Linked DNA regions of Tribolium castaneum. The protein of the gene in region 1 purifies or fractionates together with the protein of each later gene. This does not show direct contact. Links are inferred from orthologs where the notes say so. Each region holds a gene or a part of one and is shown on either strand. Other genes may lie near its edges.

Region 1 (4,299 bases):
CGTCGGCCGCTTTCTTCGCCTCATTTGGTCGGATGAAGCACTGTGGGACTAAACATTGGAGCAGGGCAGTTGCCCGTATCCAACCAATATAGTTGCGCTCTCAAGCGTTTCCTACAGAGCTACCTTAGTCAGAACGACTCGAGCAAAACAAACCACAACATTGTGGTGTTCTGTTCTGTTCAATGTCTGTTATTTCAAGCATTTATTAGCTATATTACTAGCGGTTTTGCTCGAAAATCGTTCCGAATAACACGAACCCGCGTGACAACAGACCAATAAACAGGTAGCAGTTGATAAAGTAAAATTCATGGACAACAAACCACTTTCATTCTTCATTAAACAAAATCAACATTAAGATGCATCTAATAAACATTTTAAAAAATATTGTTTTGCACAAGCGTTTGAATTATTGATTACGGAGGTTTCGGAAATTGGCTGAGTCGTATATTCAACAAAAAATTTAGTTCATTAATAACGATAATGGTTTTTTGCTCCGACTATTATTCGGCATCAACTACCACAAAATCAAAAATATAATTTATTACTTATTAGTCTCCAAGCATAAATACTGTGGTAAAATCGTTTAAAAATGGGAACCTTTAATTCTTTTGAGGTTTGTTATGTGGCAAGTAGTGAAAGTACATTCAACGCTGCCAATTAAATAAACCAAAACAGTGAAAATGAAAAAATTATTTTGAATGAGTCTAATCGGAATAAATAACCAAATCGACGTTTAAAGCAAGGGCTGAGGGCCTGCTTCAGAAAAACGTTAATAAAATAAATACCTGACAACATCGCCGTAATGGACAGTATCTCATTGGAACAGTTGTGGTTGCAGCTGGCAATGAGCATTTTCGCCAATTGTGGATCGAGCGGAAACTCGGCCATAACCGCCCCCAAATCGGTGAGATTTCCATCATCATCCAACGCCGCCAAATAATTCAACAATTCCAAGGCCCTCATCAAGGTTTCAGGCGCCGGTGGATCCATGAAGTCAAAATGAACCAAATCATCAATTCCCAGTTTCTTCAATTGTAAAACGACCGAACCCAAATTCGATCGTAAAATTTCTGGATAGGTGTTGTCTTGCATTTCGTTCTTGTATGCTTTTTCGGTGTAAAGTCGGAAACATTTCCCCGGCCGAGTCCTTCCAGCTCTTCCGGCACGCTGCTGTGCTGAGGCTTTACTAATCGGCGAGACCAATAACGACTCGACACGAATTCGAGGATTGTAGACTTTTTGTTTCGCAAATCCGGGATCTATCACAAACACGACACCGTCTATAGTCAAGGAAGTCTCCGCAATGTTGGTCGAGACGACAACTTTGCGTCCGATCGCCCCATTGGCCTTATTAGGGGGCGCCTCCTCGAAAATACGTTGCTGCAAATTCGGAGGCAGCGTCGAATACAACGGGATACATTTTAGTTCGCCCACTTCGGGGCCCAGATTATCAATTTCGCGTTTGATTCGTTTGCAAGCAACTTCGATTTCCTCCTGACCGGTCAAAAATAGGAGAATATCGCCGGCTATTTCCTCACACATGTGGATTTGGATGACGGTACGGATGGCGGCTTCGAGATAATCGCGTTCCGGTTCGGGAGTATAGAAAATTTCTACTGGATGCGTACGACCGGGGACGTTCATTAAGGGAGCGTTATCGAAATATTGCTGGAATTTGCCAGCGTCTAGAGTCGCCGACATAATAACTAATTTCAAGTCGGAGCGTTGTTTAATAACTTCTTTTAAAACACCCATCAGAATGTCGGTGGCAAGGGTGCGCTCGTGGGCTTCGTCGAGCAAAATGCACTGGTAGGCGTCCAGCATTGGGTCGCTCATGCCCTCACGGAGCAACATACCGTCGGTCATGTACCTATTAAATCACACAGTTGTAATTTTTATGCTTTAACTTAATTTAACTTAACTGCTTTTGTAAATATATGATAAACGTAATAAAAAGCTCGAAAACGACAATTTTTTTTTTATTTCAAACCCAATTTACTGACTTTTCTGTCTGATTCATTAAAATTTCTCAAAAAAAAAACAATAATTTAAGTCCAAAAGAGAAAAAGAGTATTTTGAAAATAATAAAACCTCAGAAAACAAGGTTTAATAGAATTCGGCGAGGAAAAAACTAGTTTTTCACAAGGAATAATCATAATTGGGGAAGAAGACAAGAGTTTCTGGAAAATATTTATAGCCCCTCTTACTTGAGGATAGTTTTGGCCGACGAGCAGTCCTCGAACCGAATGCTGTAGCCCACCTCTTGCCCCAAGGCGACGTCCATTTCCTCTGACACTCTCTGGGCCACAGACATGGCAGCCACCCTCCTGGGCTGGGTGCAGCACACCCCCTTTTTCCCGACCGACCTGGCGAATTCAACGCACCACTGTGGAATTTGCGTCGTTTTCCCCGACCCTGTCTCGCCAACCAGCACAATGCACTGGTTTTCGGCGAGCAAACGCATGAAATCGTTGCGGTATTCAAAGACAGGAAGCGTGATGCGTTTGCGATACAACTCATGGTACTTATTGGTGTACGGCAAACCGGTGTGCGGGTTGATTGAGGCGTTGGTTACTTGCGGGGTGTTCGTTACTGCAGTGCTAATCCCACGTTCTTCCCTGAAATATCACGAGGCGGAAAATGTGGCTGAGTGACATTTGTGGTTACTCACCTTTTCTTCTTTATAAACGGATCCAACACTTCGATTCTCCTTTTAGACATTGTTAGATAGACTACGGCTAATAGTAACAAGCTCTCGAATTGTCTACTTGTTAACAAATAAAAATAAATTGCATTAAAGTTTGTTTGGAAATAAAACTACGACCACGACTCCATGCAACTTTGCACGGTCGATAGAGCAGAGCGCTGCCGTTTTATTGACGTTTATTTGCATGGCGACCGAAAGCGGGAGTTTAAATTTTTTGGAAAATTAAGGGGAAAAATGAAACCACGAAATTATTGTACACCGTATAACAATTTATTAATTAAACTTTATAACAATAATATAATTTGGTTTTTAGTCAGTCAAAATTATGTGTACTGCGCGAATATTGCTGATTCTGGGGAGAAACATATTAATTGCAACTTTTTAAACCGACTTCATGTAAAATTTTTCGCATAAGTTGTTTTATGGGACATGCCTCTGATGCGAAAATAGTAGTAATGTAATTAATTGTGCCCTGAATTTAAAATATATTTTAATTAATTAATACATTTATAGTACAGCACGTATGAAATTTGTTAATCCTATCGTCACTTTTTAATTAAAATTTTACACAGTTACATGTTTATGAAGTGTGTTAGTGCCGTCTGGCCATCTTGTTATACAAAGAATAGTAAAAAATTAATACAGTTTAAGAAATCTTAAGTCTATTACCACATTTAACCGTATCATTTAAAAAGCTCATTTTGTTGGCAAATCAGTAGTGATGGTTGGCTCTTGTGATTGTAGTTCTCGATATGCATGTGATGTATTGCATATTTGGTAATTTACGGACATTGCTCTTTTGCTGACTGAACGCAATAACAGATAACAGAAAGAAATCGATTTTAAGACATCTACTGTTACGATATATTTCACTATATCATATAATAATCGTATATTTTGATTAACATTTCCTAGATATTTATTTAACTAAACTAAATAAAAGCCGAACTTATCTCCTAATATCTACAACGATCAAAACGAAATTTTAGTCCAACAGTTTCTATTTTAAACAGTAATTCGATGAAGTCTATTCACTTTAACCACTTAAGGAAGAACAAGGATCTTAAGCTAAACTGATGTAAATACGGATAAATTTACAATTCTTGTACCTTACTCACAAGTTCAAACACACACGTGCTTTGAACTTGTGCAGTGTTACTGAACTACGGGAAAAATCGAATATCATTCTGAAGTACTTCCAGATTTTCGAATATTCACTTTTACAATAAATTTACGAGACCGCGTGTGTAATAAAGGGTGTAAAATTTCGTTACAATTTTGTGGTTCGTGTACGCTGACACAAAAATAATTTCAAGTTTTTTGTACTATTTCTCAAAAGCCAATAATAATGTGACGTTCTTTTATCAAAAATATTTGTCGTTTGGGAGTAAATTATGTTAAAATTTACATTTACGTCTTACAGTTTATTAATTCATAAAGAAAAGGCAAAGAGGCACTTCAGAATTAAATAAATTCAGGAAGAGAATCAGACACCTGTGCATGTAGACCCACGATTTTATTCTCTTAGCACTTTAAATTAGGCGGACAGACCCGGTCTGTTGATTGGGGTATTATACGATCGAAACAACTTC
Region 2 (4,321 bases), on another chromosome or scaffold:
GTCCAACTCAATGACAGGCACATTTTGTTTTTTGTCCTTTGATGTTTCAGATTTTTTTTCTTTTTTCGCCGTTGAAGCAACAAAATTAAATTTGGGCAAATCAATGGTAGGACTGATCTTCTCTGTAGTAGTCTTTTCCTGCACTTCAATGTAGCTTGAACTTCCCTCATCTTCATTCACAGGACTCAAGTTTACAGACTTGCAATTTTCAAAAGATTTTGAATCTTCAATTTCCCTAAACGAAGAAAACTTTCCTTTCCCACTTTCGTCCGCTTCCAAAGAAGACAAATTCTGTTTTTTGGTCTTTGGTGTCTTGCTTGAAGCAACAAAATTGGGGAAAGTACCATTGCTAGGACTATTTTTCTCTGTAATACGTCCATCTTGTGTACTCTTCTCGTTGACTTCAATGTAGCTTGAACTTCCCTCATCTTCATTTAAAGGGCTCAAATTTACGCTCTTGCAATTTTCTGACGGTTCTTCAAGAGATTTAAAATCTTCAATGTCTCTAAACGAAGAAAACTCTCCTTTCCCACTCTGTCTTTTGACCTTTGGTGTCTTGCCATGTTTATTTTCTTTTTTCACGTGTCCATCTTGAGCCATTTTCTCCGTGACTGTGATGAAACGTGAACTTCCCTCACCATCACTCACAAGATTTACAGAATTTTCGGAAGATTTCTCCTTCAAACTTTTTGTAGTGAGATCTAATGTCTCATCATTGCACTTGTCTTCCAGTTCACATTGCTTGGTACTCCTAAGAACTCTCTTAGCTTTGACGATTTTTCTTTTATTTTTTGGTACAGGTGGCGGCGAGATTTTTTGAACTTCCTTGAACAAAAAAGGGCTTCCTTTGTCACTTTTCCCGCTCTCATCGAACTCCAAACGAGGCAAATTCTGTTTATTATGCTTTGACGACGTTGGCTTAATATTTTCGTCTTCTTTTTCCACTGCAGAAGCATTAAAACTGAAGAAAAGCAAATCGTTCGTTTTTCTGACTTTTCGTCCACTTCTTGTTGCTTTGGCACTGCTTAAGGGGCCACTGGTGCTTTCCATTTCAGGTGGATTTAGTTTTTTATTTAAACGTCTGCTGGACCTCACTGACATTTTAATGCAAGCTATAAAACAATTTTTATGTAATTTTCGTATCAAAAAAACTCGGTTTTTACCTTTAACGTTGTGTTAAATCCAATTATTCGCTTTTTATAGTAACTTTACAGTAAACAAGGCACACAAATGACAAACCGACAACAAAACCGTTTTTTTGAATCTGACATTTGAGATTGAGATGCGTGATTGGTCCAAATTAGATTGGCATCTTGTTTGAAAAATAAATTGATTAAATATTTATAAATTATTGTATTTACAAGATGTTAATAGAGAAAGTTGTAACTAACTGGATAAATAACTACTACATTTGATTTATTCTGTATGAAAATTTTGGGAAATGTTTTCGCTTTTGCAGGAAATCGAGCTGTCGCGATTACGGTCGCATTCGCTCTAATTCCAAACAAAAATGTCGACCGAAACGTTGCTGAATGCCGCAATAAATTATTAATAATATTAAAAGTTTGCGGTTTTTCCTCATTGTAGATAAAATTTAACAGACTATCTGTTATAGTAAGTTCGCTTCTTGCTTTGATTCAAACATTTTTTAAGAAATTAGTATGAGAAAGAGGTTATATCAAATTGAGAAAAGTGCTTTTTAGTGTTAGAACAATTCCATAATCCCGTCTCCTTTCAGCTTACGGCTGCAACAAGCACTGATTCTACTGACAAATGAATCCGGATCAGCTACAAGAGGGTGTCCCGGAGCACCCTGTGCCCCACCAGGAAGGGATGTTTGGGTCAGGTATGCAAGGGTGGGCTGGTGAACATGGTAATTGATTGTTTTCAACCAGTTTGTTTATATCGCATTGGACTATTTCAGGTGTTGGTGGTGAAAAACAACTCCCCTCATTGCTATCCCTAAAAGTGGATCCTCCTGATCAGATGATGGAGACGCCACCAACTGAAGTTGTTTTACCTCAAGTGTTGGAAGAGGTGTTGGCGTTAAAAAATCAGAGAGCGCGTGAACTAGAACGAGAAGAAACGGAAACAGTAGTTCAACAGCCGCAGACTCCTAGAGAGGCGCTTTGGGAGAAAGATGACAATATTGTAGCTTTTTTAATTTTTTGTATGAATATAGTTATAACGATTGTTTTTTTAGGAACCCGTGGTTGAAAATGAAGAAGAGAGTCAGGTGAAAGAGACCACCAAAATCAGTAAGAATAAAAAGAAGAAGAAAAGGAAGAAGAACAAGAAAAACAGGGAGAATGAACAGAATAAAGCGGCTGAAGAGGAGGAGAAAAAGGATGGGCAAGAGGATGGGAATACAGATGTGGAAGTTGAGTAGGTGTTTTTTCTATTTGTTTGACAAAATTGTTATGAGTTTAATTAAAGGTACGTCCAAGAGACGATTAGTCTTCTTGAACTGGCTCCACAATACCGGCAGTTTTATAGCATTTTTGACGTGTTTAAAATAACTGATCAAAAGCATGATATCCCACCCCCAGTTCTGGCAACGCCAACATCATTGTCAAGTAAATCAATGTTAAATAGCATAGGAGATCACTTTCAGGAAGAAATGGAAGATGGGGACGACGTAAGTGTTGTATTACATTATGAATAAAAAATATGTATCTATTTTTTTTTCAGAAAAAGCTTGACGATAAGTCAAAAATGTCCAAAAGAAAGCTTAAAAAATTGACGCGACTTAGCGTCGCCGAGCTTAAACAACTAGTCAGTAGACCAGACGTTGTAGAAATGCACGATGTAACAGCCAGGGACCCAAAATTGTTGGTCCAATTGAAAGCTCACAGAAATACCGTTCAGGTAACGATTATAATTTTCTCAAAAATTAAAAGTAATGCAGCCATTCCATGATTACGGACGGCACATAACTATTATTTTAAAAATGGCTTATTAAAAAAAAAAGATGGATTAACAATTTAAATTCATTTTGCCACTTCTAAAAGTTGTTATAAATAATTAGTTACGGATGGGACACAAAAAATTATGCTTTGTAACAATTTTATTATAACACGAAAATGTTAACAAAATTCAGGAACTACTAACAATTAATAAAAAAAGAGAATACCTTTTATTAAATTATTATTAAGAATAGAATTAAGTCGTAAGCTTTGGAAAAATAATTTTCGTCACTACTTCCAATTTGAAAACTCTTAATTTTGCGCACATATAGAATTCTGTAGCATTATTAATTATTATTTTCTTTAGACGAACTTTGTTCCAAACTAAACATTTTACTGAACGCATAAGAAGCAAGGATTTGAATTTTTTATTAAAAAGTGATGTTTTGGAACAAACTTAACAGATTTTTCATAATAATAAAGCAGATGAAAATATATGCGGAGTTAGCAATTGGCTGAATAATGTGTTTTTCAGGTACCACGTCATTGGTGTTTCAAACGAAAGTACTTGCAAGGTAAACGTGGTATAGAGAAACCACCTTTTAATCTTCCAGATTTCATTAAAAGGACTGGAATCATGGAAATGCGTGCGTCATTGCAAGATAAGGATGAATCCAAAACACTCAAAGCTAAAATGCGGGAAAAGACCAGACCCAAACTTGGAAAAATCGATATTGATTATCAAAAATTACACGACGCATTTTTCAAGTACGTTTTTTTTATTTTTGATAAAAGCTAAAATTGCTATTGTTTGTAATTGTGTATTCGTAGAGATTGGGAATAATTGAAAAAGATAGACAGCTGTTTATTTAGAATTTTTTTTATAATCTCATTGTTATTGTTAGGTGGCAAACTAAACCCAAAATGACCATCCATGGGGACCTTTATTACGAGGGCAAAGAGTTTGAAACCAGATTGAAGGAAAAAAAGCCTGGAGATTTATCAGAAGAATTAAGAACGGCCTTAGGAATGCCTGTGGGCCCTAACGCTAATAAAGTACCCCCACCATGGTTGATTGCAATGCAACGTTATGGTCCCCCACCCAGCTACCCCAACTTGAAAATTCCGGGATTAAATGCCCCCATCCCTGATGGTTGTGCCTTTGGGTACCATGCCGGTGGGTGGGGAAAACCACCGGTGGACGAAAATGGAAAACCATTGTACGGTGATGTGTTTGGAACAAATGTTACCAACATAGATGTAAGTATTTTATAATATTGTTTTATTGAATTTTGTTCAAATATCAATGTTTAGGACATTGGTGAGGACCCTTCCGTGGATCGCACCCTCTGGGGCGAGCTCGAGTCCGAATCAGAGGAGGAGGATGAGGAAGAGGAGGAAGACCAAGACAACCA

Evidence for each region. Proteins that work in one complex are often made in the same cells at the same time.
Region 2: the proteins of Dhx15 (region 1) and Sf3b2 purify together in Homo sapiens (co-immunoprecipitation; 3 studies listed by BioGRID and IntAct, with this or other methods). This does not show direct contact. The link is inferred for Tribolium castaneum from reciprocal best matches to the Homo sapiens genes DHX15 and SF3B2.

Annotation. Positions count from the first base shown.
Region 1 is NC_087397.1:4,419,826-4,424,124, reverse strand, and holds the start of Dhx15 (putative pre-mRNA-splicing factor ATP-dependent RNA helicase PRP1), read right to left. Parts: upstream 2,889-4,299; 5' UTR 2,722-2,888; coding exon 2,672-2,721; intron 2,619-2,671; coding exon 2,208-2,618; intron 1,871-2,207; coding exon 786-1,870; intron 49-785; coding exon 1-48.
Region 2 is NC_087396.1:14,198,260-14,202,580, reverse strand, and holds the start of Sf3b2 (splicing factor 3B subunit 2), read left to right. Parts: upstream 1-1,467; 5' UTR 1,468-1,614; intron 1,615-1,738; 5' UTR 1,739-1,773; coding exon 1,774-1,873; intron 1,874-1,924; coding exon 1,925-2,151; intron 2,152-2,203; coding exon 2,204-2,385; intron 2,386-2,436; coding exon 2,437-2,638; intron 2,639-2,691; coding exon 2,692-2,868; intron 2,869-3,441; coding exon 3,442-3,674; intron 3,675-3,811; coding exon 3,812-4,166; intron 4,167-4,220; coding exon 4,221-4,321. Other genes in the region: uncharacterized protein LOC103313715, read right to left, coding at 1-1,101. UniProt on the Homo sapiens protein: Component of the 17S U2 SnRNP complex of the spliceosome, a large ribonucleoprotein complex that removes introns from transcribed pre-mRNAs.